5 linked regions of the Macaca mulatta genome follow. The protein of the gene in region 1 interacts with the protein of each later gene in a pairwise test. Links are inferred from orthologs where the notes say so. Each region holds a gene or a part of one and is shown on either strand. Other genes may lie near its edges. The genes, in order: BICD2, MFAP1, RAB6A, SNW1 and PRPF31.

Region 1 (5,779 bases):
GTTTATCTGACAACTGAAGCTCTCCACGTGCTGGGAGGGTGCGAGCACGTTAGTTGGCAGAAGAGAAGACCTGCATGTGTTAGGGGGAGCCCAGTGGCTTGAGTGTCTGCAAAGCCCCTTAGGAGTATGGAGAGAAGCTGTGTGCCAGGCTTGCAAGGAGAGGGCAAAGCACGTGCAGGGTGAGCATGCCAGCAGTCATCCCACTGCGAGTCTTGCTGGGGCAGGGGGATCTGGGCCCAGGATGAACACGCAGGGAACATAACATGGGCCTGTCCTGGAGTCTGGAGAGGACCGAGACATACTCGGCACCAAAGGGAAGAGCACGCAGGGTAGACAGCTGTGGGAGGGGGCAACACGGTCTCTCACCAGGTAACTCGAATGCCTCTTCCGCATGAGAGACAAGGCAAGCAGCCTGCAGGGGAGAAGACTGCAGCCTCAAGTCCAGCTGGTTCCACGGGGTGATCGGGAGAAAAATACTGAGAAAAGTTCTGCTCAGAATGTGGGAAGGCAGGCGGCCTGATGCCAAAGCTCTGGTGTGGATGGAGCCTCTGGAAATGGGAGAGCCCTACAGCTACCTTTCCTCTTTCTCTGTTGCCATTCCCCAAATTGCACTAAATAAAGAGACCTAAACATCTCCTACCTGTGAATCCTGACAATTGGCCCTGGCCCCATGCAAAGCTTTCCCAGCACCAGGCTAGGCTCTGGCTACAACTGTGGGTGTCCAACCCAGCCAAGCCCCTGGTGGCTCAGACTTCAGGCTAGGGTTTTCAAAGCCCCATGTCTTTGGGACTGAACCCCCTAAGGACAGCCAGATAATTGGCTGCTGAGGTCACCCCAAGTACAAAAGGACAGGCTCTGCACTGAGGACCAAGGTCTGGCCAGGCACTTGGACAGCTTTTCTCATGAAAAATGAAAACCTGGGGCCTTGGGCCCTGCCCATTTGTCACCTCACAGGCCACTAGACAAGCATCCTGATCTCAGAAATGTAAAACCGAGCTCTGGATTCCTGGGTTATGGTCAGCTGTGTCTCTGCCATGTGTGTCTGGCCAGCAGAATACAGGGGCTCAGGGCTGCTCTTCTCTGGGCTTGGGGAAGAAATTCTGCACTTCTGTACTGAATATGATTTGCAGTGAGATAGTGCATAAACTACAACATAATCCTTTCCATGAAACTATGCCAAGTGCAGAGCCGTCCTCTGAAGCAGTACCTATACGGCAAGCTGGAACCTCCTAAAACTGCTTTCTAGCGCTGACGTTAGACACATGCGAGGAACATGCAAGTTTCAACTCAGGTTCTGCCCCATTTGGGTGCTGAGGGAGCAGGACCAGGACTCCTTCCCTTGGGTTTCCCCAAGGGTGCCCAGGGCTTAGAAGATGCTTTCATCACACATCTGCTGCAAGAATGTGCAGCTCTATCCCCACCTCTGACCCCCACCTACGAGAGCAGCTGAGGACTGGGTGCTCCTGAGGGGGCTTTGAGGAGTGAGAAGCGACACAAAGCTCTCACAAGTGTCCTGCTGATGCACACGCCCCATGGCGCCTCGGCTAGAATCCTACCCTCTGTGCATTAGTCACGTTAAGATTGACCTAGCGCCGCTGTCCCGCTGCTGCTGGGTTAGTTGAGGTGAAGCAGATGTTAGCTGCAGCGTGCGGCGCCCCACAGCCCCTAATCACAGTAAATGCTGTGCTTCTCGCTGCAGAACACCTGGTTGGCCAGCCCGGTGCCCTCGGCCCTGTCGCTGGCACAGGCGCAGGCGTGACTTACGCTCGGGGTGGCTGGCTTGGCCTTCGGGGCAGCTTTGGTGCGGCCACGCCGCGTCTGCTCATGGTCCAGCTCGAGCAGCTCCAGCCGCTGGGTCAGTGCCAGCTTCTGCTGGATGGCCATGCGCAGCAGCGAGTTCAGCGTCTTCTTCTCGTCCTCGGCGGCCGCCAGCTGCCGCTGCATCTCATCCAGTTGTGTGATGTACTCGTCACACCTGTGGGTACCAAAAACATGACTGAGGAGTGGGCAGAGCCGAGCAGAGGAGAGCAGGGCAGGGCCTGTGCAGCCCTTTGAGAGGCCTGCACCAGAGCCATCCTTCGGTGTGGCCTCTGGACTGGAGGGTGGGGGTGGGGGAGAATTATTCTGGCTTATTTTAGCACAGGCTTTGCTCGGACAAATCCCTGATAAGGGTGAGAGGGAGGCTTGGGCCCAGGCAGGGCAGCCCTATGAGGCTGGCTTGAGTTTTGTGGTTTTGTAGGGGAGGGGCTGCTGTGCTCATTCAGCAGCATGTAGTGCTTACAGAGAGGCTATGCCCCTCAGTGACTGGGCTGCTTCTAGGAGGTGCGCTCCCCACTTAAAAGGCCTCGAGGTGGCCTGGGGCATCAAGACATGGAGATGCCATGGCTTCTAGGGTGTGGACGTAAACCTAAGCAGGACTGGGCTTGTTCCCAAGGTCGATGCTTCGTCAGTCTGTGCTGAGCACTGACCGGAGCCAAGGAACCATGTGTGTGGATGCCATCGATAGCTTCATCCCAAAACCCGGTGCGGAGCTGTGGGAGGGTGTGATGTGTCCCTGGATGCCCTTCCTCCACATGTCCCATATGGGTGGGGCTTGGTAGAGACACAGGGCGGGTTAAACCCCGGGGCTCCCAGGGTGGTAAGGCTGTGCAGGCACTGAGCGCAGCCCCACCCTGCCCACACGCACCCCACCCTGCCTGTCCCCACCTGCCAGGAACTGGCCCTTGGATAGCACCCTCTCCAAGGGCTCTGCTGCCCACCCTTTTGAGGACACACACTGAGCTGTGATCCTTGCAGGTTCAAAATCTTGGCTCCATCTGAAAAGTTAACTTTTAAAATAAAACAAATTTTAAAAGGTAGGGTTTACATGCCAGATGCTGAGAAACTGTGGAATTTTTTCCCAAGCCCCAGAAAGACAAGACGCTTCCAGAGAAACCTTGGGCCTCTTCCTAGTCCATACCCCGCCCTGGCAGGGCCTGCAGGGATACCGAGAAACTGGGAGTGCCTGGCACCAGGCTTGAGAGAAGCAGGCCCTATGTGCAGTTCCCACCCTGTCCAGCTCAGATCCTCAGCTTGCTCACCCACAAAAAGGAAACATCTAGGTTATCTGCTGCGCCCATGGTGGGCCTGGCTGTCCCCCATGCAGGGCTGGCCCCATGGTGCTATCCCAATATGACCCAGCAGGTGGCACTACCCATCTCTGGAAGATGAAAGACAGATGGGGGCACCTGTCAGGGAGCACCTGGGAAGATGCTGGAACCAGGACCTGCCCCACAGAGGCCCATGAACACCTAGGGAGCCTCGATTCCCAGCCTTGGGGTCTGACTCCCAGCCAGGGAGGGGTGTGCACCCACCAGGGGCAGCCCACCCAGAGCCCACTACTAAGAGACCCACCACAGAGGAGGAAGGAAAGCTAGTCTCCTCCAAGCCCCAAGGCCCTCTCCTCACCTTCCCCAGATTGGCAAAGTGGAGGATGGGAGGTGAGTACCCAGTGGTCACAATGACGCAGAGGTACAGGGCTATGCACAGAGGTGGGACCCGAACTGTGGACCCCAGCAGTGACCTGCTCCAGCCAGGAGGGTAATCCTCCTTCTGATTCTACAAACATAAATGCATACTTGTGCCATATGGCCAAGTTCTTGGGGGCGAATACCTCATGAGAGAAAAGGCCAGGACTCCTCTGTCACCTGTTGGCCCCAAGTAAGTCCCTGGAAATGTTGGATCCAAGGGGTGGGAGCCCAAGCACCCCCTGAAGCTCCGCAACTCTGGCCCATCCACTCCAGGATCTGCTCTCCTCAGCCCCTCTGCCCTCAGTCTCCATATATGCAAAGCAGAGGCAAGCCTGGGCCTGCTGTGCTTTCAATCACAGCAAAATCGAATCAGCGCCACAGAACCAGGCTCCTGGGGGCTGGGCTAGGTGTGAAAGGAACAGAAAAAGGATCACACACGCTCTGCCATCCCCGGCCACATGTGGTCACCTGCCAGGCATGCGCTACGCTCCAGCACCTGCTTGCGTGACCTCGAAGGAAACTGAGGTGACCTCGGAGGAAACCAACCCCATGTGGCCCCCATATCGCCTCACCCTTTCTTGTCACCAACTTGAGCACCAGTATGCCAGAGATGTGCCAGGGGCCATGCTTCCCCAACCTTGTACCATGTTGGCCCCAATGGAGCTGGGCACAGCCACTGACTAGGCAGGGCTGCAGGCCTCAGTATAAGGCAGTGAGAGGCTAAGGGTTTCAGAGCAAGTGCTGAGGACAGCTGGCCTCAGGGAAGGGGAGGGCCCGACAGCAGCACGGTTACCTGGTGGCAAACATGGCACGCAGCGAGGAGAAGGTGGCTGCGTCCTCCTTGAGGGCCTTGAGCTCATTGCGCAGCTTCATCATGGTCTCGGTAACCATGGCCTTCTCATTCTCATACTTGCTCTTCAGGTTGGCAAGGGCCACCTCGGCTGTCTGGGGTACAGATGTGTAGGGTAGAAAAGTGAGAGGCGTGAAGTCATCCTAGAGGTGCTCTGGGAGTAGGACGGGGAGTCCTGGTCTGAAGTGGTGGCGGTGCCTGGGAAGAGAGCTCCTGGGAGGCCCCTCCCTCTGACAAACCCTGGGGATGGACTCCAGCAGCTACGCCATGGGGAGTCCCACCTGCTGATTCTGACTGGCAGAGGAGGGACTGCCCCCAAACCTGCCTACGGGACCCCCACAAAGCCCCACAATCACTCTCCACAGCTCAGACTACGGCTCTCACACGTTTTCCCGCCAGCATCAGGAAGCACTATGAGGCAGTCACAGTGAGTGAATGGCAGCGGCATTTCTCACTGGCTGAGCGGCTCTGCTGAGGGGCCCTCACGCCCACCTGCCTGCTCCACCCTCCCAGCTGGGGGCCCTGAGCAGGGGAGGGCAGGCGGCCAAGCTACTGTGGGCTGGCTTTGCCTGGTGGTGACGCAGGCCTGGGGGGCCCCGTGGCAGGGGTAGGAAGGAGGCCAAAGGGAAACACCCTGAGGCCAGCAGTGGGTGACAAGTGGCCCTGCCGCCTGGCGTCTCACCTGCTTGTTGGCCTTGAGCACAGTGCGCAGCGTGGTGATCTGCTCCCGCTTGGTGCTGAGCAGCGACTTCAGCTTGAGGATCTCCTCCATGAGCGCCTCCTTGTCCTTGTCCACAGCAGGGCCCAGCTCCTGAGAAGCAATGCGCTGGCGTGACAGCTCCGTGGTGCGGTCCACGGCTGCCTGCAGGTGCTTGATCTGGTCGCGGATGATAGCAATCAGGTTGTAGATGTTCATGGGCTCCCGGCGTGGGTCACTCAGGGGTGACGGCAGTGAGGAGCCAGGTGAGGGGCTACTGTCCCCGCTCCCGCCATCGGCTCGGCCGGCCTCAGGAGCCAGCAGCCCCTTGGGTAGGAGGATGGGTGAGCGGCGGCCGCGCCCCTCAGGGCTGGTGCGGCCCCCGGGGCTGGTGCGGCCGGCTCCGCCCTGGCCCTCGCGGTAGTAGTCCAGCATGACACGGTTGGGCGTCTCATTGTTGCACATGCACACATGGTGGTAGAGATTGGCCAGCTCCTCACTGAAGGTCACCAGCTCATCCTGGGCCACACTCAGGCTGCCCTGCGTCTCACCAGCGACGTCGCTCACCTTCTTCAGCTCCTTCTCCAGCCGGGCCAGTAGCTCGCGGTCCTGGCGGCTGGCCTTCTCCAGCAGGGAGACCTTTTCCATGAGCGCCTGGCCCTCAGCCTCGTAGCGGCCCTTCTCCTCGGCATGCTGGGCCTCACGAGCCTCGTGCGTGCTGCG
Region 2 (5,779 bases), on another chromosome or scaffold:
AAACCACGCCTCTATTAAAAATACAAAAATTAGCTGTGTGGTGGCATATGCCTGTAGTCCCAGCTACTTGGAAGGCTGAGGCAGAACTGCTTGACCCCCAGGGGGTGGAGGCCAAGATTGCGCCACTGCACTCCAGCTTGGGCGACAGAGTGAGACTCCGTCTCAAAAAAAAAAAAAAAAAAAAAAAGAAACTACAGGCTGAGGATGGAGTTATCTATTTATTGTGTGTAGCTCATATTGAGGCAAGTTTTCTTTTTTTCTTTTTTCCAGATAAGAGTGTCACTCTGTCACCCAGGCTGGAGTGCAGTGGCGCTATCTCAGCTCACTGCAACCTCTGCCTCCTGGGTTCAAGCGATTCTCTTGCCTCCACCTTCCAAGTAGCCGGGAATAACATGCAAACACCACCACACCCGGCTAATTTTTGTATTTTAGTAGAGAGAGGTTTTCACCATGTTGGCCAGGCTGGTCTCGAACTCCCAGCCTAAAGTGATTCGCCTGCCTCAGCCTCCCAAAGTGCTCGGATTACGGCGTGAGCCACCACGCCCAGCCTAGAGTTATCTATTGATGGTTTCCTTTGTAATCCGGGATTACCCTCTTATACCTAATAATTTATAGGAATGAGTGATGCAGCTCAGAAATGATTCTGCTTGGGCCGGGCGTGGTGGCTCACGCCGTAATCCAAGCACTTTGAGAGGCCGAGGCAGGTGGATAACCTGAGGTCATGAGTTCGAGACCAGCCTGACCAACATGGTGAAACCCTGTCTCTACTAAAAATACAAAAATTAGCCAGGTGTGGTGGCACATGCCTGTAATCCCAGCTACTTGGGAGGCTGAGGCAGGAGAATCGCTTGAACCCAGGAGGCGGAGGCCACAGTGAGCTGAGATTGTGACACTTCACTCTAGCCTGAGTGAAAAGCAAAACTCCATCTCAAAAAAAAAAAAAAAAAGATTCTGCTCTAACATAGTGTAGGTTACTTAAGTGCCACAAATGCTTCCCCTCACAGTATGCATGCCCCTTTTCAAAAAGTATGACTTTGCTGCTTCTCCTATCCAGAGGTGGAGTCTGTTTCTCCACCTGCTTAAAGCTAGGTCGGCCTTGTGACTTGCTTTGACCAATATGTGGCAGGATTGATGTATGAGTTCTGGAACCTAAGTGTCAGAAGACCTTGCCCTCTTAGAATGGTACCGAGACTACTATGTAAGGAAGGCAGTCTAACCCAATGAAGGATAAGTGAGGCATCCTAACTGATAGCCACCACCTACTACTAGACATGTGAGTGAAGCCCTTTTAAGTTTCTAGCCCAGTCAACTGTCTAGCTGGATACAACAACATAAGTGAGCCCACGTGAAATCAGTAGAGGAACTGTTCAGCCAACCTCCAAAATTGTGAAAAGTAATTGTTTTTTCAAGTCACTCAATTGTGGGTTGGGTTGTACACAGTAAGAGATAACTGCTAACAGTTACTAATTTTTGTGTCTACTAGGAAACTAAAGGGAGCACTGGCTGGCACTCTATTATGGACACACATCGACAAAGTGTGTTTCTCTTCCCTGATTTCACTGTAACAAGTGAAACTCACATTCCAATTATAGGAAACTCACCCAGCAGCAAGAACTCTGAAGATGGCCAGAATGGAACTCACAGTAGGTAATGAGTCTCAGAGCTATCCTACTAGAAACCTGTTCCACTAGCAGCATTAACTCTAGGCTCATCTTTTTACTCACGCTTCTCGATCTTCTCTGTCCCTCTTGATTCTTTTTAGCTCCCGAACTTTCCATGCCTCATATTCCTCCTCGTCATTTTCATCATCAGTATTGAGTGCATCCAGTGCAGCCAAGGATCGCTTGTTCTCTTCCAGCTCTTTCTTGGTTTCCTCTTCGACAATCTGGATAGGGAGAACAATTCGGCTTGGACTTCCTTACTCTCCTCAGACAAACCTGATTACACTATTTTCTTGTACTCAATCCTTGGAACCACTCCCCAGTACCTTTTTTTTTTTTTTTTTTGAGACGGAGTCTCGCTGTGTCTCCCAGGCTGGAGTGCAGTGGCGTGATCTCGGCTCACTGCAAGCTCCGCCTCCCGGGTTCATGCCATTCTCCCGCCTCAGCCTCCCGAGTAGCTGAGACTACAGGCGCCCGCCACCACGCCCGGCTAGTTTTTTTTTTTGTATTTTTAGTAGAGACGGGGTTTCACCGTGTTAGCCAGGATAGTCTCGATCTCCTGACCTCGTGATCCACCCGCCTCAGCCTCCCAAAGTGCTGGGATTACAGGCTTGAGCCACCGCGCCCGGCCAACTCCCCAGTACCTTGAGTGTGTACTTGCGCCTCTCCTCTGCCAGGCGTTTTGCTTCCTGCTCCAGCTCCTTCTGTTTCAATGCTTCAGCTTCACGTTCTTGAACTGTCACTCGGTCCTTCCTGCATCACAGAGGTCCTGTTAATTGCCTAAAGTCCTTAGAGTGGAGTGCTTTGTTCCCCTAGACCTAGTCCCATCCAAATGAGACGAAACCAAACTCTTTGGCTCTATTATTTTCAAAGAGCAAAAAACGTTGAGTCATCCCAGGTCTTTTTTTTTTTTTTTTTGAGATGGAGTCTCACTCTGTCTCCTGTGCAGTGGTGTGATCTCAGCTCACTGCAACCTCTGCCTCCTGGGTTCAAGCAATTCTTTGCCTCAGCCTCCCGAGTAGCTGGGATTACAGGCGCCTGCCACCACACCTGGTTAATTTCTTTGTATTTTTAGTAGAGATGGGGTTTCACCATCTTGGCCAGGCTGGTCTTGAACTCCTGACCTCGTGATCCACCTGCCTCAGCCTCCCAAAGTGCTGGAATTACAGGCATGAGCCACTGTGCCCAGCCATCATCCCAGGTCTTTGGAGCACTAAAATCATGTTCATCTTTGAGAACTGCCTGGACAGCAAAGAACCTGCTGGCCTGTAAGTAGGAGGATTTCTAGCCATCAAGAAAGGAATAGGAATCTGCTTGTTGAGTTTAATTTTGTGTTTAAAAATATATGGCCTTGGCTGGGCGCGGGGGCTCATGCCTGTAATCCCAGCACTTTGGGAGGCTGAGGAGGGCGGATCACCTGAGGTCAGGAGTTCGAGACCAGCCTGACCAACATGGTGAAACCCCCTCTATACTAAAAATACAAAATTAGCCAGACGTTGTGGTGCATGCCTGTAATCCCAGCTACTAGGGAGGCTGAGGCAGGTGAATCGCTTGAAATCGGGAGTTGGAGGTTGTGGTGAGCAGACATGACGCCATTGCACTCCAGCCTGGGCAACAAGAGCAACACTCCGTCTCAGAAAGAAAGAAAGAAAAAAAAAAGGCCTTGGACAGATATATGCTCTATAACTGAAAAAAAGAGATGTGAAAACAAACTCAGGTTCTCTGCTAACACCAAGATACTCCTCAGCAGCTCGTCTGGCAAGGCTACAGCACTAGCAAAAGCACTTTCACTCAGTGCTTAGATTTCAGAATAGCACAACAGAAAACAGACTTTTGTTTCCACGCCTGGAAAGTGGTAATTAAGTGGATTCAGATCTGGCTCGTGAGATACTTACTTTCGAATGAAGACTGGCTTAAGGCGAGGCTCCATCTCATCTTCACTGTCTGTGTACTCTTCATACTCAGACTCTGATTCTGACTCCTCTCCAGAACGTCCCTCATCTTCCACTTCCATGACTTCCATCTCTTCATTTTTTCTCTCCTGTGCTCGCTGACGCATCATGCCACGCCGCCGTTCTATTTCCTGTGAAGTCATATATGTAAGCCGGTCAGTCAAATGGCCTATGGCTTTTTGTTTTAGTCTCATCAAACCCAACAAATTCAAATGTAAAAAAATACAACTTAGTACCATTCTATTTTTAGTCCTATCCCAACAAACAAGGAACATGATCAGAGTCCTGCCAAAAGCAGTGATCTCATGTTTTTAAGGCTTCAACAAATGAGCACAGGCGTCAACTTTTTCTTATATCCAGAAAAAAACTTCCCATGTTCCTTTATCATACCTCATCATCAATCTCCTCTTCCTCTTCTTCACTGCTATCTTCTCGTTCCATGCGCCAAGCATCTCCTTCTACTTCTGAGTCACTCTCTCCTACCACTTCAGGTTCCACTATTTTCCGATGTCGAGCCAATCTGATAAACAGTATCTCCAAATGTAACACCAATGTCATAAAAATGAACTAGCATCAACCGCATTTCCACAGCCACACAGTACATTATGTTTGCCTTCATTAATACTGAAGTCTTTTTTTTTGAGGCAGGGTCTTGCTCTGTCACCCAGGCTGCAGTGCAGTGGTGCGATCTTGGCTCACTGCAACCTCTGCCTCCCAGGCTCAAGTGATCCTCCCACCTCAGCCTCCTGAGTAGCTGGGACTATAGGCATGCCAGCACACATGACTAATTTTTGTATTTTTTGTAGAGACGGGGTTTTACCATGTTGCCCAGGCTGGTCTTCAACTCCTGGACTTAGGCAATCTGCCCGCCTTAGCCTCTCAAAGTGCTGGGATTACAGATGTGAGCCACCATGTCCATCCAATATTAAAGTATTGAGGTGGGGGAAACTGAGGTGCAGATTAAAGGAACTAGACTAGGATATCAGAGCAAATAGCCAAGTTTGGCCTGAAATACTAAACGTATGTTGAGGCATCCTAAGGCACCACAGCAAGCCAGCAAACTCATAGGGATGCATTGGGATTTTTTTTTGAGACAGAATCTCACTCTGTTACCCAGGCTGGAGAGCAATGGCGTGATCTCGGCTCACCACAACCTCCCCCTCCCAGGTTCAAGCGATTCTCCCTGCCTCAGCCTCTTGAGTAGCTGGGATTACAGGCGTGCACCACCACACCCGGCTAATTTTTGTATTTTTACTAGAGAGGGGGTTTCGTCATGTTGGCCAGGCTAGTCTTGAACTCCTGACCTCAGGTGATCGCCTGCCTTGGCCTCCCAAAGTGCTGGGATTACAGGCGTGAGCCACCGAGCGTGGCCTGCATTGGGATATTTTCAATAGCTCAAGGTAATTCAGTTTCAACATTAAGTCATATTACATTCCTTTTGAGAATATCGTATCTTCGTGAAATTGGGTTTTGGTGGCTGCTGTGGTAAAAAGTACAGTGTGAATATCAATATAAAACAAGACATGAAAAAGTGACAGTGCTGATTCCAAGGTCTGCAAGGCTGTCAGTGTCCAATAGGCACACAAATTCCACTAGTAACTGTGGTTATGTGAGAATGAATAAAAGTGTTTTTTTCCCCATGGGCACTGTAATTTTATTTATTTTTTCTTTTTTCTTTTTTGAGACGGAGTCTCACTCTGTCACTCAGGCTGGAGTGCAGTGGCATGATCTCGGCTCACTGCAACCTCCGCCTGCCAAGTTCAAGCAATTCTCTGCCTCAGTCTCCCAAAGTAGCTGGGATTACAGGTGCCCACTGCCATGCCTGGCTAATTTTTTTGTATTTTTAGTTGAGATGGGGTTTCACCAAGTTGGCCAGGCTGGTCTTGAACTCCTGACCTCGTGATCCACCTGCCTCGGCCTCCCAAAGTGCTACGATTACAGGTGTGAGCCACTGCGCCCGGCCATGGGCACTGTAATTTTCAAGTGGCAAAGTTATTAGGACATAAATACTTATTAAGTTACTTGGCTCTAACTACTTACTAACTAAAATAAACAGAACTGTTTTGGCCCAGGAGCTCTGTGAAAAAACCCCTGGGACAATTATGAACGGTGAAAGTTCAGGACCCCTGGTCTGCTCTATTAAGGTAATGTCTCAATCAGTATATA
Region 3 (6,270 bases), on another chromosome or scaffold:
TTCAAGCGATTCTCCTGCCTCAGCCTCCTGAGTAGCTGGATTATAGGCACTCACCATCATGCCTGGCTAATTTTTGTATTTTTGTAGAGACCAGGCCGGGGGGTAGGGGGGTGGGCCTCCACCATGTTGGCCAGGCTGGTCTTGAACTGCTGACCTCAGATGATTCACCCATCTCAGCCTCCCAAAGTGCTGGAATTACAGGCATGAACCACCGCACCCACCCTAGTATCTTAAATTTTTGACAAGCCAAATAAAACCTAATTTCAGATCAGTTCCATAAGCACATGAGCACATCATTAGTATAATTTGAATACTTTTCATGTGTTATATTAATAATTTAACAACAACTTTAACAAAGGAAGACTAATTCTGCTCAACTCAAAAACAAAAAAGTACAAAATTCAGGTCAGTCCTATTTTTTGAATGAAATGGTTGGGCCTTTAAATGATTGGTTTCTCTACCCACTTAAGTATCTGATAGATTCCTGTATACAATCAAATGATGTAAGTTTTAAGTGTTATTGTTAAACTATCAATTGCATACGGAAAAAATGTGAACTTCACCACGTCAAAGAGTGTAATATAGGCTACTAGCTTTCATTACTATTAGATTCAGCCACCATTCATTCACCCAACATGTCTAAGCAGCTACTATGAGCCTGGCTCTATGCTAGGCAATGGGGATACACTGAACAAAAAAGGTAACAGTTTTTATCTTCATGGGAGTTGCATTCTTCTGTGGGAAATAAAAACAAACACACAAAAAATAAGATAATTATAAAGGTGGTAAATGCTATTAAGGAAAAAACAAGACTTGCCACAGATTACAGTCTTTGAAAGCTGAATTGTGGAATTCTAACAGACCTAAAAATAAGTAATTCATGAAGAGTTACATCCAAACGACATGGAGTCTACAGACCTCTACTAATGCATAAGAAAACTATAGACACTAACCATGAAAACAGAGATCAATCTTTCATTGTCAAAGCTACTGAATGGCATTACTTGGCAATATAGTAACTTCAAAAGATAATTAACTTGACATCCTGAATTGAATGCTGAAACAGAAAAAGGACATTAGGTTAAAACTAAAAATCTAAATAAACTATGGACTTGAGTTAATAATAACATATCAATATTAGTTCATTAATTGTAACAAATGTGCCACACTAATACAAGATGTTAATAACAGGGGAAACTAGATGTGTGGATATATGGGAACTCTGCACTATCTTTTCGATTTTTCTGTAAGTCTAAAACTGTTCTAAAAAATGAAGTCTATTAAAAAAAAAAAAAAATCTAACCAGGCTTCAGTAATGGAGGGAGGAGGGTAGTAGAGGCTTAAACAAGGTACGAAATTAGAAGCCATAAAACTCTCCATTATGAATTAGAACATATACAAATACTCAAGAAATTCAAAGGAAACCTGAAGATACTTAGGAAGTTAAGCACTCCTTTCATGCTAAAATATTTTTAGACAGGGAGATGAATGAGTTTTTTCATGCAAACTAAATAGCTGTGCATCACAACGTAAGAAAGGCAATAATATCCTTAGAATGCACAATAAGCACTTTGGATCCTTTTTACCAATAATGATCAATAAGCTTTATTTTATGTTTGGGAACTATCCTGAAATTGACATATAAAAGCTGGACCAGGATCAACTCCATAGGTTCTACCAAGTTACTCACCTAAAGACACAAGTTTATACTTACCTCAGGAAAATATGTAAGCGAAAAGCAAGGAGATCGTATTTTTACCCTCAAAAGGGAGGAGGGGAAGATAATCTACATATGAAAGGAGAAAAATGATTTCCCAGTTCTAACGGGAGGCAATTTTGCAAGGGTATTAACCTCTGTAATGGCATACAAATCAGTATAAATAGTTCAAAGTAGTAATAAAAGCTATGAGTTTATATCACTTATATGCCTTCTAGTCAAAACAAACAATTAATGTTTTCTATAACCTCACCTAAAACACCTAGTAGGTACTCAATGTTTGATGACTCAGAACTAGTCTCTCAATGTCTGAATTTTAAAGACGGTCATGCAAAGTGTGAGAAAAACAAAGGAGGGTAATCGTCCCTGAATTGTCGAGTGTCAAGTTTGTATAATACAGCATAAAACTGAAATTACTACAAGAAGTAATCGTAGAAACGACCATCACAAAATTAGGATCTTGTATCTAATACGGAAGTACAGTGACAGCAGAACCTGACCAGGTAAATGACATAACAATTTCACTCATCAGATAGTACGGAATATGAAGCATAAAAGAATTATTTAGCCCAAATGGTATTTAAATCTAATTTAGATAACTAGATGAGTTTATTTCTACTCTACTCCATTTTCCAAAGGAAATTTGACAAAACAAAGATGTTTGTTATTCCAAGCCTTCTCTCACATGAATCCTCAATATATCATTGGAAAATACTCAAGAAATGAATAATTAACATTTCCCCAGTAATTCCCGTTTGTACCACCATGAGACTCAAACGCTGCTTCATGTTGAAAAGAGAAAAAGGGTAGGTGAGATGAGAAATATTCCAAGTAAAATGATCATGACATAGCATCTGGCAGAGATTGAAAAATCATCAACACTGCCAAAAGAATTGTCAGTGATGGAAGTCAACAGAACAAAATGAGGTTTTCCGACAAGCCACAGCCCCATCTAACCTAAAGGGCAAAAATCTCCACTGCCGACGCTACCCCTTTCACCCCCAACCACCCCATGCTCAAGTCGTCTCCAATTCAGATGTTTCCTCTATGGCCCGACTAATTTCCCACCCAGGTGAAAACCATTTAATAATTTTTTCTACGACCACCCCTTCCCACCTTCGACGACATCAGCACTTCTCAGGGCCAAGCCTCTGGGGAAAACAACGCCCAGATCCCACCCTCCTTGGCCAAGGTTGAAGAGGGCCCGTTCTCAGGAGTAGGGCTTCCCTGAGTGGGCCTCACAGAGCTGAGGAACTGGGAAAAGAGCAAGGAATAAGGGTGGGGCTCAAGAAAGGGTACTGGGGTAGGGGAAACGACGGAGACCGGAGGAAGAAAGGGATGGACAAGAGGCTGGGCGGGGTGAGGGCTGAGGAGGGGGGGCAGATCGACCGGAGACGGCCGGACTGCGGGGAACGGAGACGGCGAGTCAAGGATTGAAGAACCCGGGGAACAGGGTAAAATCTCGGCCGACAGATCCAGGCGGAGAGCCAGTGGCACCGGGGGGCACATCGGGAAGGGCTGCAGTGGCAACGAGCGCGGACGCTAGGCGGGCTGGGAGCCTCCGCGGACGGAAGGGCCGCACCGGGGGCGGTGCGGGGACGCTGGGGCCAGCTGCCAGGAGTGGGGGAGCCACGTACTCACCGCTTTGCTCCCCCAGGAACACCAGCTTGAATTTCCTCAGCGGATTCCCGAAGTCTCCGCCCGCGGACATGGTGGAACTAGAGGAGCTGCCGCCGCCTCAGCCCAGAGACCTCCCGGACCGATGCTGCTCCAGACGGCTGACGAAAAAGGCGAGCGGAAGGGCGGGCGCCGAGCTCTCTCGGCCCCTGCAAGGCCCGGTGGAGGAGCCCGGTTGGAGGGCAGCAGGACTCTCCACAGACTGGCAGCCGCCGCCGCCTCCCGGCAGAGTAGCCTAGCACCGAGCGAGGCCCGCGGCTGGGAAGGAGAGGGCGGTGTCGGCAGGAGCCAGGGGTGTGCTCTGGTTTCCCTAGGCTAGGGCAGTTCCCTCCTTCCGCACTCAACTCCGACACCTGGGGGAGAGAGGCAGAGGGTGGCGGAGCCGGAACCGCAGACGTATCTGGGACCTCTCACGCGCAGCGCCTCAGCTTCCACAGCTGCCGCCGCCGCCGCAGCCCAACCTGCTGAGTGCGCGAGCCTCTGGCGCGGCGCGGGGCGAGCCCGGGCGCGAGCCTGCGGCCCCGCCGGCCGCTGGCGTGCGTGCGTGCGTGCGCGCCACCGCCATAGCTATCGCCTTCCTGGTTTGGACAGCTCTACTGGCTCCTCCCGCACGGCGGCGACGGGGCAGGTTAGGTTTCCACTTGCGCCAGAAGAAGCCAGGAGGAGGCGGGGCAAGCCAGGGATAAGTTAGGAGGAGGCTGGAGCCCTTACGTCACTTACGTAATGAGCCAATCGGAAGGGGCCGAGGGCGAGCAGACACGCGAGTGAGGTGGCAGCGTGAGAGCGCGCGCAACCCTAGAGCAGTGGAAAGCGGACCAGTGTGGCGGCCATACGAAGTGTGGCGCTTCTCAGTCTTATGGGACAGGAGGGGAAGGAAGGGGAGGGGAGAAGGGTGGGGCGGAGGCGGGGCCGGGATAAAGGTGGAATATGATCCCCCAAAAAGTGTGGGTGGTCCTATAGCCTTAAAATTTGTAAGAGGTGCCTCTTTCCTGAGCCCTCAGCCGTGCCTCACAGTCCTCAGATCCGTTCTTCACCCGTGCACCCACCCCACCTTCTTCACCCTCTCATCATAATTCCTCTCACAGCATCTTACTAAATAACATTATCTTCCATTGCTCCCAGGAATTTTATAACTGTCAGAATCAGGGCCTCCCAATTTTGCAGATGAGGAAACTGAAGCCTAGAGAGAGAAAATGACTTGCAAAATCCGTAAAGCAGGCCGGGCGCGGTGGCCCACGTCTGTAATCCCAGCACTTTGGGAGGCGGAGGCGAGTGGATCACGAGGTCAAGAGATCAAGAACATCCTGGCCAACATGGTGAAACCCTGTCTCTACCAAAAATAGAAAAATTAGTTGGGCGTGGTGGCACGCACCTGTAGCCCCAGCTACTCGGGAGGCTGAAGCAGGAGAATACCTTGAACCCGGGAGGCAGAGGTTGCAGTGAGTCGAGATCGCACCATGGCACTCCAGCCTGGCGACAGAGCGAGAATCCATCTCAAAAAAAAAAAAAAAAAAAAAAAGCCGGGCGTGATGGCTCATGCCTGTAATCGCAGCACTTTGAAGGCTGAGTTGGGTGGATCACCTGACGTCAAGAGTTCCAGACCAGCCTTGGCCAACATGATGAAACCCCATCTCTACTAAAAATACAAAAAATTAACGTAGTGTGATGGTGGGTGCCTGTAATCCCAGCTACTCGGAAGGCTCAGGCAGGAGAATCCTTGAACCCGGGAGGCGGAGGTTGCAGTGAGCCAAAGTCACACCGCTGCACTCCAGCCTGGGCAACAAGAGCAAGACTCTGTCTCAAAAAAAAAAAAAAAAAAAAAAAAATTCCATAAAGCGGCTGGGCGCGGTGGCTCACACCTGTAATCTCAGCACTTTGGGAGGCCGAGGCGGTAGAATCGCTTGAGCCCAGGCGTTCGAGACCAGGCTGGGCAACAAAGCCTGGTCTACAAAAAATAAAATAATTAGCCGAATGTCGTGGTGTGCCCCTGTAGTTCCAGCTACTCAGGAGCCTGAGGCAGAAGGATTGCTTGAGTCCAGGAGTTGGAGGCTGAAGTATGGCACCACTGCACTGAAATCTGGGTGATAGAACAAGTCCCTGTCTTAAAAAAAAAAACAAACAAAAAAAAAAAAAAAAAAAAAAAACTTTCTAAGTGAATAATAAAAAAAGTCCTTACATTTGTGTATAGTATCTTATGTCATCCACAAAAACATTTATGTACATTTTCTCATTATTGGGGAGTTATTTGCTTAGCTGTAGAAACGACAGGATCGAAAAAGTGCCTTCTCAGGCCCAGGGATGAATTGGTGACCTAGAATAAATTACAGGGAGTGCTTAAAATATCATCTAGTCTGGCTTATCAAGACAACAGCTATATCCTCAAACCATCTCTATCAAAATTTACTCCCTTCTGGTTCCTCTCCCAGCCACGTGCATCTAAAATAAAATGCATTTAGAACATGCATCTAAAATAAAATGGTAAAAACCTGGCTTGTGGCATGGACGTTTGATTTTACAAGTAGTTTGTCAGGTCTAATAGGGTCCTCTCCACCATTAACCCAGAACCCTGGCACATACAAAGAGCAGCTTAAACCAAGAAACTTTTTAAAAAGATTATGCAAACAGAAGTGAGTAGCTATTTTCTTTCTGATGGGTACCAAGTTTTCATTATGCTTCCTGAAATAGACTTTAAAGTAACATCTGAGGACTGGAACTATAATTATTTTGTACTTCCTACAGAACTTTATGAATCAGTCCTCCCTGCTGCTTTGGTCTCTGTAGTCACCTAGACAGGTGGTACTATTCCCTGTCATTTTGAAGGGCCTCATGGTATAGTCCACCTCTTACCTAAAATGTTTTAATGGGTTTTTTTTGTT
Region 4 (5,779 bases), on another chromosome or scaffold:
AGAATGTTTATCTGTCTTTGCCTGCAACTGCCTTTTTGTGGGACAGCTACATCTAAAATACAGGAAAATTTGAAATCAAGAATTACGAAACCTAGCAGTCTTCACAAAATGGGATCATCCCCAGCAAATCATTATTCTGGCATGTTGTGAGGGAGCCGGATCACCATTGTGGGGTGTATGTACACATCTACAAAGGCTAGGAGCATGCAGACAGCTGCCAACTAGCAGCTGCCATTTCTGACACACGTACCATGGGTGAGACTCTCTCTGGGTGCTTGGTACTATAGTTAAATTATCAGTACCTTAGGTAACCAAGAATGGATTTTAAAAGTAACAAGAGCATTAAACAAATTATAACCAACCAACCTTCCGATCAGCAATGTAGAGGGCTTCTGCCAGTTTGGCGAAATTTTCATTTATGTGTACTGTCTGTAGTCCTCTTCCATCAGCAGCCAGACGTTTGTCTAATGGAATTGTATAACCCTAGGGTGAAAGCAGACAGAAAACCCAGTCACAGAAGTGCTTCAATTAATTATTTGAAGTTAAATTAATTTAATTTTTTTCGAGCTGGAGTCTTGGCTCTGTCACCCTGGCTGGAGTGCAGGGGTGCCATCTTGGCTCAATGCAACTTCTGTCTCCTGGGTTCAAGTGAGTCTCCTACCTCAGCCTCCCAACTAGCTGGGACTATAGGCGTGTGCCACTACACTCAGCTAGTTTTTGTATTTTTAGTAGAGACGGAGTTTCACCATGTTGGCCAGGGTGGTTTTGAATTCCTGACCTCAGGTGATCCACCCTTAGCCTCCCAAAGTGCTGGGATTACAGGCACGAGCCATCAAGCCTGGCTAAAATTAAATTAAAATATGCCCACATTTTAGGACCCACTTAAACTTAACTGGGGTTCTTTTTCCTTATATCTTTCTTCACAACGACGCAAAATAACAGCAGCTATCAATGAGTGCTTTATGCAGAAGATCAAACACATCTATGGTCTCATTTAACCTTCATAATAACTCTATAAAGCTTCTAACATTGTGTCCATTTCACTGATGCTTTGGTAACATCCCCAAGGTCATACCGTTAAAATAAGTGGAGGACTAGGATTTAAACTCAGACAGTAGGATTTCAGAACCCAACCTCTGGAAAAATAGATACTTGTGCTGATAATTGTGGATTTTAATAAAAGGAAATCAGTGTCAAACAGTTCAACAGTTGCTCCTCAAATAAATGTAACAGTCAAACAAAGGCAGAATAAATCACTATAATCTTAGCATCTATAGGAAGTTAAATCTGCTGTACTCTCTTAATGATCTGTTATATTCTTAGAACCCTGAAGTTTTAGTAAATAGAAAAAAAAAGGCTGGGTGCAGTAGCTCAAGCCTGTAATCCCAACACTTTGGGAGGCCAAGGCAGGTAGACTGCTTGAGCCCAGGAGTTCAAGACCAGCCTGGCAACATGGTGAAACCCTGTCTCTACCAAAAATACAAAAAAGTAGCCAGGTACGGTGGGGCACACTTGTGGTCCCAACTACTTGGGAGGCTGAGGTGGGAGGAATGCCTGAGTGTGGGAGGTTTAGGCTGCAGTGAGCCATGATCATACCACTGTACTCCAGCCTGGGCAACAGAGCGAGACCCTGTCTCAAAAAAAAAAAAAAAAAAAAAAGAAAAGAAAAGAAAAAGAAAAAAGAAAAAAACCGTTTGCTAAACCACTGACATTCTACATTCTAAAACTTTGCATCCCATTTCAATAACTCAAGAACTATACTTGAATATCTATGTAACTTTCAGGCTTAGTTTTATTTTCCAGATACCTGACTAGTCTCTCAAATGTTGACCTTTAAGTCCATGGTCTCATAAAAATGAAGCGTTACAGAACCAGCTCAAGATACCATCCAGTTACATAATATTCATGAACTCGAATCAGACCAGTCAACAACCTCTTTGTTTAGGGTGAGTACATAAATTCTCTTAAGAAACCTGAAATGGCCTTCTTTATCCATCAAAAGTAAAACCATGAACTATGATTCAGGGAAGAGGAAAGAGTAATTAGGGAACCTATCCCACAATCAACAGATTCTTAACAACTCCTAGAAACTTTGGCGATTATTAGAGACATATAGCTTAAGCCTTCACTACTACAGAGCCAAGTAGTTGAATATAAAAGCACTTAAAGTATGCAAACATTTACTCTGTTCTTGTCATATAATCTTTTACACCAGTTTACTTTCTTTTGGAAACAATTTTTAGACATAAATTTGAGTTTTCTAAATACCATCTTGTATTTATATGGCACTTTATTATACTTATTCCTTCTCTATGTTTCTGCTAGCTACAATTCACTAAAAGAACTGATATGGGGCCAGATGCGGTGGCTCACACCTGCAATCCCAGCCCTTTGGTTGGCCAAGGCCAGCGGATCACAAGGTCAGGAGATCAAGACCATCTGGCCAACAGGGTGAAACTCCATTTCTACTAAAATACAAAAAATTAGCCGGGCGTGGTGGCATGCGCCTGTAGTCCCAGTTACTCAGGAGGCTGGGGCAAGGCAATCGCTGCAACCTGGGAGGCGGAGGTTGCAGTGAGCTGAGATCATGCCACTGTACTCCAGCCTAGTGACAAAGTGAGACTCCATCTCAAAAAAAAAAGAAAAAAAAAAGAACTGACACGGTATTCATGTGCCTGGCACACTAACATTTCTATTACATTAAAAAAGTCACCAAATTGGGCATTCCTTTTTGAAAATACTCAGTTAAGCCATGTGTTGTTTCAACTACAGTTACGCAGGCTGTAGTTGTTTTATTGGTATTTTCCAGTAGGTTATAATACTAACAGAGACTGATTTGACAACTTAATTACCTTTGCATTTTTCCAGTTAGAAATACAAGGAGGAATCTTCCACTCTTGTTGTTCCTTTACAGTCATCTGAGAGAAGAGTGAAAGAAGAGACAGGTTTAGATTTATAGTCTACAAAGTAAATCTTAAGTATAATCTTTATCTCCAAAGATAGCTCCATATACACTGACATATGCACAGACATAGTAAAAGGCCAACAGTCCATTTGTTTGCTAGCACTAGTTTACCATATAATTCTAGTAATAACTTTGAACTACTGGGAAAAATGGAAAATAATCTAGAAATTATTCTTGACAGTTACAAATGTTGGCTAGTATTTTTCCATATTTAAAGCGATGCGACTTCTTTTTTCTTTTTTATTTTATTGAGACGGAGTTTCGCTTTTGTTGCCCAGGCTGGAGTGCAATGGTGTGATCTCAGCTCACCACAACCTCCACCTCCTGGGTTCAAGTGATTCTCCTGCCTCAGCCTCCCAAGTAGCTGGGATTATAGGCATGCGCCACCACGCCCGGCTAACTTTTTTTTTTTTTTTTTTTTTTTAAGTAGAGACGGGGTTTCTCCATGTTGGTCAGGCTGGTCTTGAGCTCCTGACCTCAGGTGATCCGTCCGCCTCGGCCTCCCAAAGTGCTGGGATTACAGGCGTGAGCCACCATGCCTGGCCAATGTGACTTCTTTTGGATGAAAAATTGTTCTTTTGATTAATAAAATATATCTTAAAAAGTCACTCAAATTATCAGGGACCTAATAAACCCATATATTCATTTCCAATAACATCCTTTAACTGAAACAGCAGACCCTGTCCATTCCATTAAAAGTAGGGTTTGGGTTACTAATAACAAAACGTATAGCTAACATGTTATATACATTCTCATAAGCATTCTTGAAACTTCATCTTGAAAAATAAAAAAAGAAACTACAAGTCAATGTGGTGACATGCACCTGTACAGGCATAGGGAAGTTATCTATAAAATTAATAACCATAAGTAGAAAAAAAGATTGTGGACTACAGCAAAGAATACCTTTCGGCTAGGAGAATGCATGACAGGTGCAGGAGGAGAAGGTGGTCCCCGGGGAATTTTCTTATTAATCCTGAAGTATAAATCAAACACAACCACACAGTGATATAGTTTCCTCCCTTTTAGTCATCATACCAAGTCTCCCCTCCTTTTTCTTGCATAAAAGTTTCAAACATAGACAAAAACAGAGATTGTATAATGATATACACTTACCACTCCACTTCTAAAATGAATAAAACTTGGCCAACTTTGAAATCGTTACTCACCCCACCTCCACAACATTACTGTCATTTTGCAGAGTAATATACTTTTTTTCCATTTTAAAAAGCAGCTTGAGGCTGGGTGCGGTGGCTCACACCTGTAATTACAGCACTTAGGGAGGCCGAGGTGGGCAGATCGCCTGAGGTCAGGAGATCGAGACCATCCTGGCTAACACGGTGAAACCCCGTCTCTACTAAAAATACAAAAAATTAGCTGGGCGTGGTGACAGGTGCCTGTAGTCCCAGCTATTCGGGAAGCCAAGGCAGGAGAATGGCATGAACCCAGGAGGCGGAGCTTGCAGTGAGCTGACATGGCGCCACTGCACTCTAGCCTGGGTGACAGAGTAAGACTCTGTCTCAAAAAAAAAAAAAAGGCAAGTTTATTGAGATAATTGACATTTATTAGCTATACATATTTAAAGTATATAATTTGATTAAATTTTGACACAAATATGCACCTGTGAAATCATCATCACAAGCAAGATAGTGAACATGTCTATCATCCCCAAAAGTTTCTGCTTGCCCCTTGCCTATTCCTCTTGTCCCTCTCATCTCCTCTCTGTCCCTACCTCCTTCCCCAGAGGCAACCACCGATCCTTCTGTAACTACAGGTTAGTTTGCATTTCCTGGAGTTTTATATAAATGGAATCATACTGTATGTACTTGTTTTCATCTGGCTTCTTTCACTCAGCATAATCGTTTTGAGATTCATCCATGTTATTGTGTGTATTAGTAGCCTATTCCTTTTTACTTACTTGAACCTTGGAGGCTCCATTGGATCTTTCTGCATTTCTACCATCCGAATAACCCTCTGTTTAGCTCCAGAGTTGAATGCCACTCCTTGCTGAGATGGTGTATATCTGAAGAAAGCAGATAAAAACTAAAGGTGTAATTAGTTCAAGCTTTCAGTAGGTATTTTCCTTCTATTACAATCTTAAGCTGGACTACATTTTCAATTCCTTTCGCAAAGTATTAACAGAAAATTAACACAATATTTAGACAAAGCAGACAGCAAGAGGGATAAAAGAACATAAATTACGAGTTACAGTAAAAAACTTGAGTGGTATTAGTTTGCAAATAACCCATCCTCATATGTTTTCCAACATGGAAGGTGCAGAGTTCAGTTTCACAGACAAGCAGTCTAGAAAATAGTACCTATTTGGTATGCCTGCATCTGAGGAAAAAATACTCATAATAATCCCAGCAGGCAACTTACAGTTAGCAGTTTTTGATTAATCATAGGTTATAAAACAGAGAAAAAATAATGACAGAAGCCCTACCAACTCTGAATTTTCCCTTAATATCTGTATGTAATTCATCTCTCTATGCAGCTTTAGTCAAGTGAAACGTCTCAAAATTTAGAAGTATTATAAAGATATCTATTACCTATAAATAATAATTGTGATTTAGGTCATATACCACAAGTAATTGTTAATTTCTAAAAATAAAAAATATAATTTGAAAATAGCATAGGGCCAGGCCGGGTGGCTCATGCCTGCAATCCCAGCACTTTGCGAGGGCGAGGTGGGCGGATCATCTGAGGTCAGGAGTTTGAGACCAGCCTGGCCAACGTGGTGAAACCCTGTCTCTACTAAAAATACAAAAATTAGCTAAGCATGGTGGTGCAAGCCTGTAATCCCAGCTACTCAGGAGG
Region 5 (5,779 bases), on another chromosome or scaffold:
CAAAAAATTAGCCGGGCGTAGTGGTGCGCACCTGTAGTCCCAGCTACTCGGAGGCTGAGTCAGGAGAATGGCGTGAACCCGGGAGGCAGAGCTTGCCGTGAGCCGAGATCGTGCCACTGCACTCCAGCCTGGGCGACAGAGCGAGACTCCGTCTCAAAAAAAAAAAAAAAAAAAAAAGAGAGAGTTGTGAGGACTCAATGAGATCACCAAATGTTTCCAAAGCTCCACTCACAGCCAGCTCTGCTTGTTGCGCGTTTTCCCACCACTGCTATGACTAAAATGCCTTCTGATGATAACCAGTCGTCAATGTTTTCTTTTAGTCTGCTTTTAAAAACTGCAAACCTGTTTAGACAGCTTAATTTCATTACCACGAATGGGAGATTATTCAATAAAAATAAGTATGCAGTGATTAAAATAAAAACCACCGTCTTTGTGTCACTGAAATTCATGGTCTGTGCCACTGAAGGGAGATGACCTGTGTTCTAGGAGACATCAGGAGGATGATGTGAAACTCGCTGCCACAGAATCAAATGATACTGAAGATGACAGTCACAGGAATAACACTGGCAGCGGCTCCGCGTGGCAGAGAATTTCGCCTTGCCCAGGAAGAGGTTTGGCCTTTGCCCGGGGGTCCTGGGTGGCGGTCCTTGCTGGCTGGGGCCCTGGGGTAGCCACAGTGTGGTTTAGGGTGCCTGGGGCTGGCCACGCAGGAAAGCCCAACCACGTGGTTCAGCGTGGGGGCTCTGAGTTATGGGGCATCACCTGACCTGGAGACAGACCAGCCACACGGCAACACAGTCGTGTCTACACAGCAGAGCCACAATAAAGACTGAACACCACGGCCCAGGCAAGCGTCCCTGGCCCAGGCTTAAGTGCAGTGGTGCAATCTTGGCTCGCTGCAACCTCCGCCTCCCGGGCGCAAAGTATCCTCCCATCTCAGCCTCCCAAGTAGCTGGGATGACAGGCAAGCGCTGCCACACCGGGTTTTTTATTCTTGTAGAGACAGGGTGTTTCCAATCCCATTGGAATCAAGACAAAAAAAAGAGTCGGGGTCTCACTATGTTGCCCAGGTTAGTCTTCAACTTCTGGCCTCAAGTGATGCTCCCGCCTCGGCCTCGCAAAGTGCTGGGATTACGGGTGTGAGGCTGGCGGCCCTGTGTGTGCTGTCAGGCATCGATGCCGGGAGGGTGATGTGTCCTGACTGCGGGGAGAGGACACATCGCCCTCCGAGGTTGGTGACCTCTCCTGCTCCTCCTGTGTGTCTCTCCCTGTGGCTAATGTTAATCTGTTATACAGTCCCCAGCACAGCAGCCCTCAGGGGTTCCGTGTCTTTCCAGTGACGGTGGCCTTCGGAGCAGCTGCTAACCCGACGCTGCTTGTCGTGAGCTAGGCCTGCCTTGTGAGGGCCTCGTCTACATGGAGCCCTCGCCCCAACTCGTGAAGCAGGCGCTGTGCTCCCATTTTCGAGGGGAGGAGACTGAGGCACAGGGCACTCACGCCTCTTGCCCACAGTCACCCGACAGGTGTGCTGCAGAACCCTGGCTCTCACATCCCATGCTACCCTGTCCCCGGCTCCTGAGTGCTACTGTCAGCTGGGCCAGATGGTGGGGGTGGCTGCTCAGGCCGTCTGGGCAGGCGGAAGGCTCCAGGGGAGCCGGGGGAGGGGCTGTGACGCGGTGGGCTCACCGGGGGCAGGGACTGCACAATGTCACTGTGGTAGATGTAGCCGGTGTGGGGCAGCACTGAGGTAGACGAGAAGCCCGACAGCGTCTTGCGCTGGGCCCCGAGCAGCATGATGTTGCAGGCGGGCATCTTGGAGAGGTTGGTCAGGCCGCCGGCCACGCCTGCGGTGGGAGGAGGACAGGGGCGGTCAGAAGAAAGCGGGGGAGGCGGGGGTGCGCACATCTGCCTGGGGGCTCGACATGTGCCAAGCACCTTTACGTGAGGTTCTGGCTGGATTCCTCGGTGGCCCTGCCAGGCGGGCGACCTGGCCCATTCCGCGAGGGGCAGACGCAAAGGAGGCTCAGAGAGGGAGGGCAGCTGGCCTGGGGTGCAGGGAGGAGGCCCCCAACAGGCAACTGACCACCACGTTTGTGCTAAGCCACACTACCCCCATTCCAGGGATGTCTGTGTTTTGGAACCATTTTCACCAAACCAGGAGCCCCCTGACAACAGGGCCTGGGTGTGGTCATCTCTGGCTTTCCGGCACAGGGGAGGGAGGAGGAGCTGTGGGTGAGTGTTTCTCCCAGACGAGGCTTTGCTGTGTGCCAGGCTGGCTGACCTCTGTCACGTCCAGGGAGACGGGGTGTTGAGGCCCAGGTGCCAAAGTCCCCATTCTACAGAAAAGGGAAGCAGCTTCCCCCAGATCACAGTGTCAGCAGAGTCCCGCTCCATGGGACCCAGCCCAGGGCCTCACCCATGATCTTGGCGGCCGTGGACGCCCCAATAATGATGGAGAGGTTGGGCGCGATGAAGGACATCCGGGACTCCACGTACTCGTAGATGCGGTGCTTGGAGGCGTTCAGCTCCAGCGCCATGTCACAGGCCTCCTCCAGCCGCTCCAGCTCCTCCTCCGACAGCTGCTGCCTGCAGGGGCGGGTGGGCCCAGCCTCCTGGGTCTCCCGCCTGCTTGGTGCCCAGCACCCACCCTCTCAGTTGTGTGTGTGTGCACGTGTGTGTGTGTGTGTGTGTGTGCGTGTGTGTGTATGCCCACCTGCGTGGGTAGCTTCAGCCTAATCCCCAGTCCCACTGGCCCGGGCCCGGCGCCTCCCTCCAGCGGACATACCCCTGGGTGGTGGAGGCGGTGACGCTGACGACCATGATGGTGGCGTTGGTGAGGATCTGCTGCAGGTTCTCATTGTTCTTGCACTTGTCCAGGCTGTTGCCCAGCTCCTGGGCGCGAGCAGAGAAGACAGGGGAGGCTCAGGAACTCAGGAAGGCTTGAGAGCCTCTCTGGCCCTGCACCTACTCGGGTCTCTTCTCGGGGACACTGGGAAAGTCAGGGTCTCTACACTGGGGGCCTCTCCTGCCTCCACCGCCTGAAGCATCCACACCGTCTGCTCTGCTTTGGAAACGGAACCTGGGCAGAGCAGCGTCTGGGAAGACCGCGGCCTCACAAGCCTCTGCCTGTGTCGAGTCGGAGCACAAACCCGCGGCCTCGCTTCCCTGCGGGGGCTTCCCCCACCACCATCCTGATCCTTTCCCGGACACACGTGGGGACCGCCTCCTCTCCCTGCCCTCACCTGCATCCGCCCCTCTTTTCCGAAACCCTTCCTTGGCTTTCTCATAAGACCCAAAGGCTCAGTGTGATCCGACCTCTTCCGCGTCCCCTCCTTCCCCGCCTCACTTCCTCCCCGCTTGTTCCCTCTCCGGCTCTCCATACTTAACACATCTCTCTCCCCCAAATCTCCGCGTGCCTGCCCTGTGACGACCTTCGGATGTCAACTCCAATGCCACCGGCTCCGACCACAGCGGAAGCAGCGCGGGTCAGGCCAGCGGGGAAGCCCTCTCGGGAGACTGGGGTACGAGGGGAGCCCTGAGAAAGTCCCATCCAGGCTCCGTCCCTCTCACCCTGGGCAGAGCAGGCCACTGAGCCTCCGTCCACTCCTCTCCTTCACCTCCAGACCCCGAGGCCTCTGGGGGCGGGTCCAAGAGTGAGCCCTGCCTGCACCTTCACACCAGCAGAAGCACCGCTCCTCCTCTGCTCTCACCTTGACCGTGCGGATGTAATCCAGTGCATTGGGGACCAAGGACTCCAGTTCAGGGAATCTCTTCGAGTACTTATCCCGGATGAACTTATGGATGATGTCTAGGGTAAACGGGACAGGCGGGTGTCAGGTGAGACGGGAGGCAGACTCTGCTGGTTGGCCCTAACACCCACGTCCCCTTCTTCCTTTAGTAACTGAAGCCCTGGCTTGTAGCCTGGCATACGGGCACCAGCATACAGGCTCCATTTTTCAGCCGCCCTTACCGCTAGGTGTGACCAGGGGAATTAGTTCTGGTCTGTAAAATGTGAGCTGCAGTGACATGTTCTTAAAAAAAAGAAGTGCCTTGCTGGTGGGAATGCAGAGGCGACGGCTGGACGTGGGGCAGTCCCCTCGCACCACGAGGCAGGTGGCCGACCAACAAGATGGAAAGGGCTGGGGCCTTACGGGCAGCCAAGCGGCCACGCCGTCCCCGAGTGCTCGCTCAGACTCATACGCGAGGGAGCCACGCCGTCCCCGAGTGCTCGCTCAGACTCATACGTGAGGGAGAACACACTTCCTTCTTACTTACACCACTCCGTTACAGCAGGTGAACCTCGATCTGAGCTTGGGCTCAGCGGCAGGACCCTGGGAAAGGCCCGTGGGGAAGGGAGGGGGCATGAGGGGCGTCACAGGGGGCTGTCTCCGCCTGCCCCCAGCACTCACTCAGCTCGTTTTCGATCTCCACGGTCAGGTTGTTGGCATCCACGATGACGCGGTATTCAGGCGCTGCCTCCACCGGTCCCATCACTGTGAGGACACGGAGTGGCATGGGTGTGAGGATATAAATCCCTACCCCTTCTCAGGTCCCACAGCTGGGGGAGACGGAGGATGAGGCTGGGAAGGGTCAGGAAGGAGGGGCTGAAGAGTAAACCAGGGACAGGCTGACGTCTGCCTCCCAGATCCTGCAGCTGGAGGAGGCGGAGGACGAGGCTGGAGGGGGTCAGGAAGGAGGGGTTGAAGAGTAAAGCAGGCGACAGGCTGACATCTGCAGACATCCCTGAACTTGTGTTCCTGCCTCCAATCCCTCTCCCTCCACACCAGTCTAGACTTGACCCTACCTGCCCTGGAACTGACCGTCCGTCTGAAACCTCCTATGGCTCCCCATAGCCCCAAGGCTAATGACCAAGTCCCTAGACTGACATTCAAGGCCTGCCCAACTCCAGAAGCTCTGCAGGGACCAGTGCTGTGCCTGCGTTATCTACACCCACACCCGAGTACTCAGGACAGCACCTGGCACACAGGGAGCTGCCCAGTTCCTCTCTGCTGACTCAGCAACTCTGCGGTCTGGCCTCCCACCCTTCCCACCCCATCCTCTCATCCAGCCATAAAGGACTGGTCACAGTGCCCCAGACACCCACTCCTCCTGGCCTTTTTTTTTTGAGATGGAGTATCACTCTTGTTGCCCAGGCTAGAGTGTAGTGGCACGATCTCAGCTCACTGCAACCTCCGCCTCCTGGGTTCAAGTGATTCTCCTGCCTCAGCCTCCCAAGTAGTTGGGATTACAGGCGCCCGCCACCATGCCCCGCTAACTTGTTTTGTATTTTTAGTAGAGATGGGGTTTCACCATGTTGGGCAGGCTGATCTCGAACTCCCGACCTCAGGTGATCCACCAGCCTTGGCCACCCAGTGCTGGGACGACAGGCATGAGCCACCATGCAAGGCCCCTCTTGGCCTTTGCATATGCTGTTCCCTCTCCCCAGAGCATCCCTTACCCCATGTCTGTTTCTGGAAAACCCTTCTTTGTGCTTCAGTAATAAGAGGCCAGGCACAGTGGCTCACACCTGTAATCCCAGCACTTTGGGAGGCTGAGGCAGGAGAACTGCTTGAGCCCAGGAGTTCAAGAGCAACCTGGGCAACATAGGGAGACCCCATCTCTACAAATAATTAAAGAAAAAATAATTAGCCAGGCATGGTGGTGTATGCCTGTGGTCCTAACTGCCTGGGAGGCTGAGGCAGGAACACCTGAGCCCAGAAGGTCAAGGCTGCAGTGAGCTGCGATCGTGCCACTGCATTCTGGCCTGGGTGACAGAGTG

The links.
Region 2: the proteins of BICD2 (region 1) and MFAP1 interact in binary tests that used the Homo sapiens proteins (3 or more experiments, as listed by UniProt). The link is inferred for Macaca mulatta from reciprocal best matches to the Homo sapiens genes BICD2 and MFAP1.
Region 3: the proteins of BICD2 (region 1) and RAB6A interact in binary tests that used the Homo sapiens proteins (3 or more experiments, as listed by UniProt). The link is inferred for Macaca mulatta from reciprocal best matches to the Homo sapiens genes BICD2 and RAB6A.
Region 4: the proteins of BICD2 (region 1) and SNW1 interact in binary tests that used the Homo sapiens proteins (3 or more experiments, as listed by UniProt). The link is inferred for Macaca mulatta from reciprocal best matches to the Homo sapiens genes BICD2 and SNW1.
Region 5: the proteins of BICD2 (region 1) and PRPF31 interact in binary tests that used the Homo sapiens proteins (3 or more experiments, as listed by UniProt). The link is inferred for Macaca mulatta from reciprocal best matches to the Homo sapiens genes BICD2 and PRPF31.

Annotation. Positions count from the first base shown.
Region 1 is NC_133420.1:123,434,060-123,439,838, forward strand, and holds the end of BICD2 (protein bicaudal D homolog 2), read right to left. Parts: coding exon 5,042-5,779; intron 4,455-5,041; coding exon 4,303-4,454; intron 1,976-4,302; coding exon 1,666-1,975; 3' UTR 545-1,665; downstream 1-544. UniProt on the Homo sapiens protein: Acts as an adapter protein linking the dynein motor complex to various cargos and converts dynein from a non-processive to a highly processive motor in the presence of dynactin.
Region 2 is NC_133412.1:21,193,971-21,199,749, forward strand, and holds part of MFAP1 (microfibrillar-associated protein 1), read right to left. Parts: intron 4,134-5,779; coding exon 4,004-4,133; intron 3,745-4,003; coding exon 3,557-3,744; intron 2,415-3,556; coding exon 2,306-2,414; intron 1,886-2,305; coding exon 1,725-1,885; intron 1-1,724. UniProt on the Homo sapiens protein: Involved in pre-mRNA splicing as a component of the spliceosome.
Region 3 is NC_133419.1:74,147,181-74,153,450, forward strand, and holds the start of RAB6A (ras-related protein Rab-6A), read right to left. Parts: upstream 3,831-6,270; 5' UTR 3,429-3,830; coding exon 3,359-3,428; exon of another isoform or gene 3,090-3,358; intron 1-3,089. UniProt on the Homo sapiens protein: The small GTPases Rab are key regulators of intracellular membrane trafficking, from the formation of transport vesicles to their fusion with membranes.
Region 4 is NC_133412.1:150,953,713-150,959,491, forward strand, and holds part of SNW1 (SNW domain-containing protein 1), read right to left. Parts: intron 4,986-5,779; coding exon 4,881-4,985; intron 3,939-4,880; coding exon 3,869-3,938; intron 2,919-3,868; coding exon 2,853-2,918; intron 484-2,852; coding exon 367-483; intron 1-366. UniProt on the Homo sapiens protein: Involved in pre-mRNA splicing as component of the spliceosome. As a component of the minor spliceosome, involved in the splicing of U12-type introns in pre-mRNAs.
Region 5 is NC_133424.1:66,349,533-66,355,311, reverse strand, and holds part of PRPF31 (U4/U6 small nuclear ribonucleoprotein Prp31), read right to left. Parts: intron 4,494-5,779; coding exon 4,410-4,493; intron 3,814-4,409; exon of another isoform or gene 3,809-3,813; coding exon 3,711-3,808; exon of another isoform or gene 3,624-3,710; intron 3,522-3,623; exon of another isoform or gene 2,893-3,521; coding exon 2,786-2,892; exon of another isoform or gene 2,587-2,785; coding exon 2,417-2,586; exon of another isoform or gene 2,122-2,416; intron 1,845-2,121; coding exon 1,687-1,844; intron 1,524-1,686; exon of another isoform or gene 1,071-1,523; intron 612-1,070; exon of another isoform or gene 487-611; intron 1-486. UniProt on the Homo sapiens protein: Involved in pre-mRNA splicing as component of the spliceosome. Required for the assembly of the U4/U5/U6 tri-snRNP complex, one of the building blocks of the spliceosome.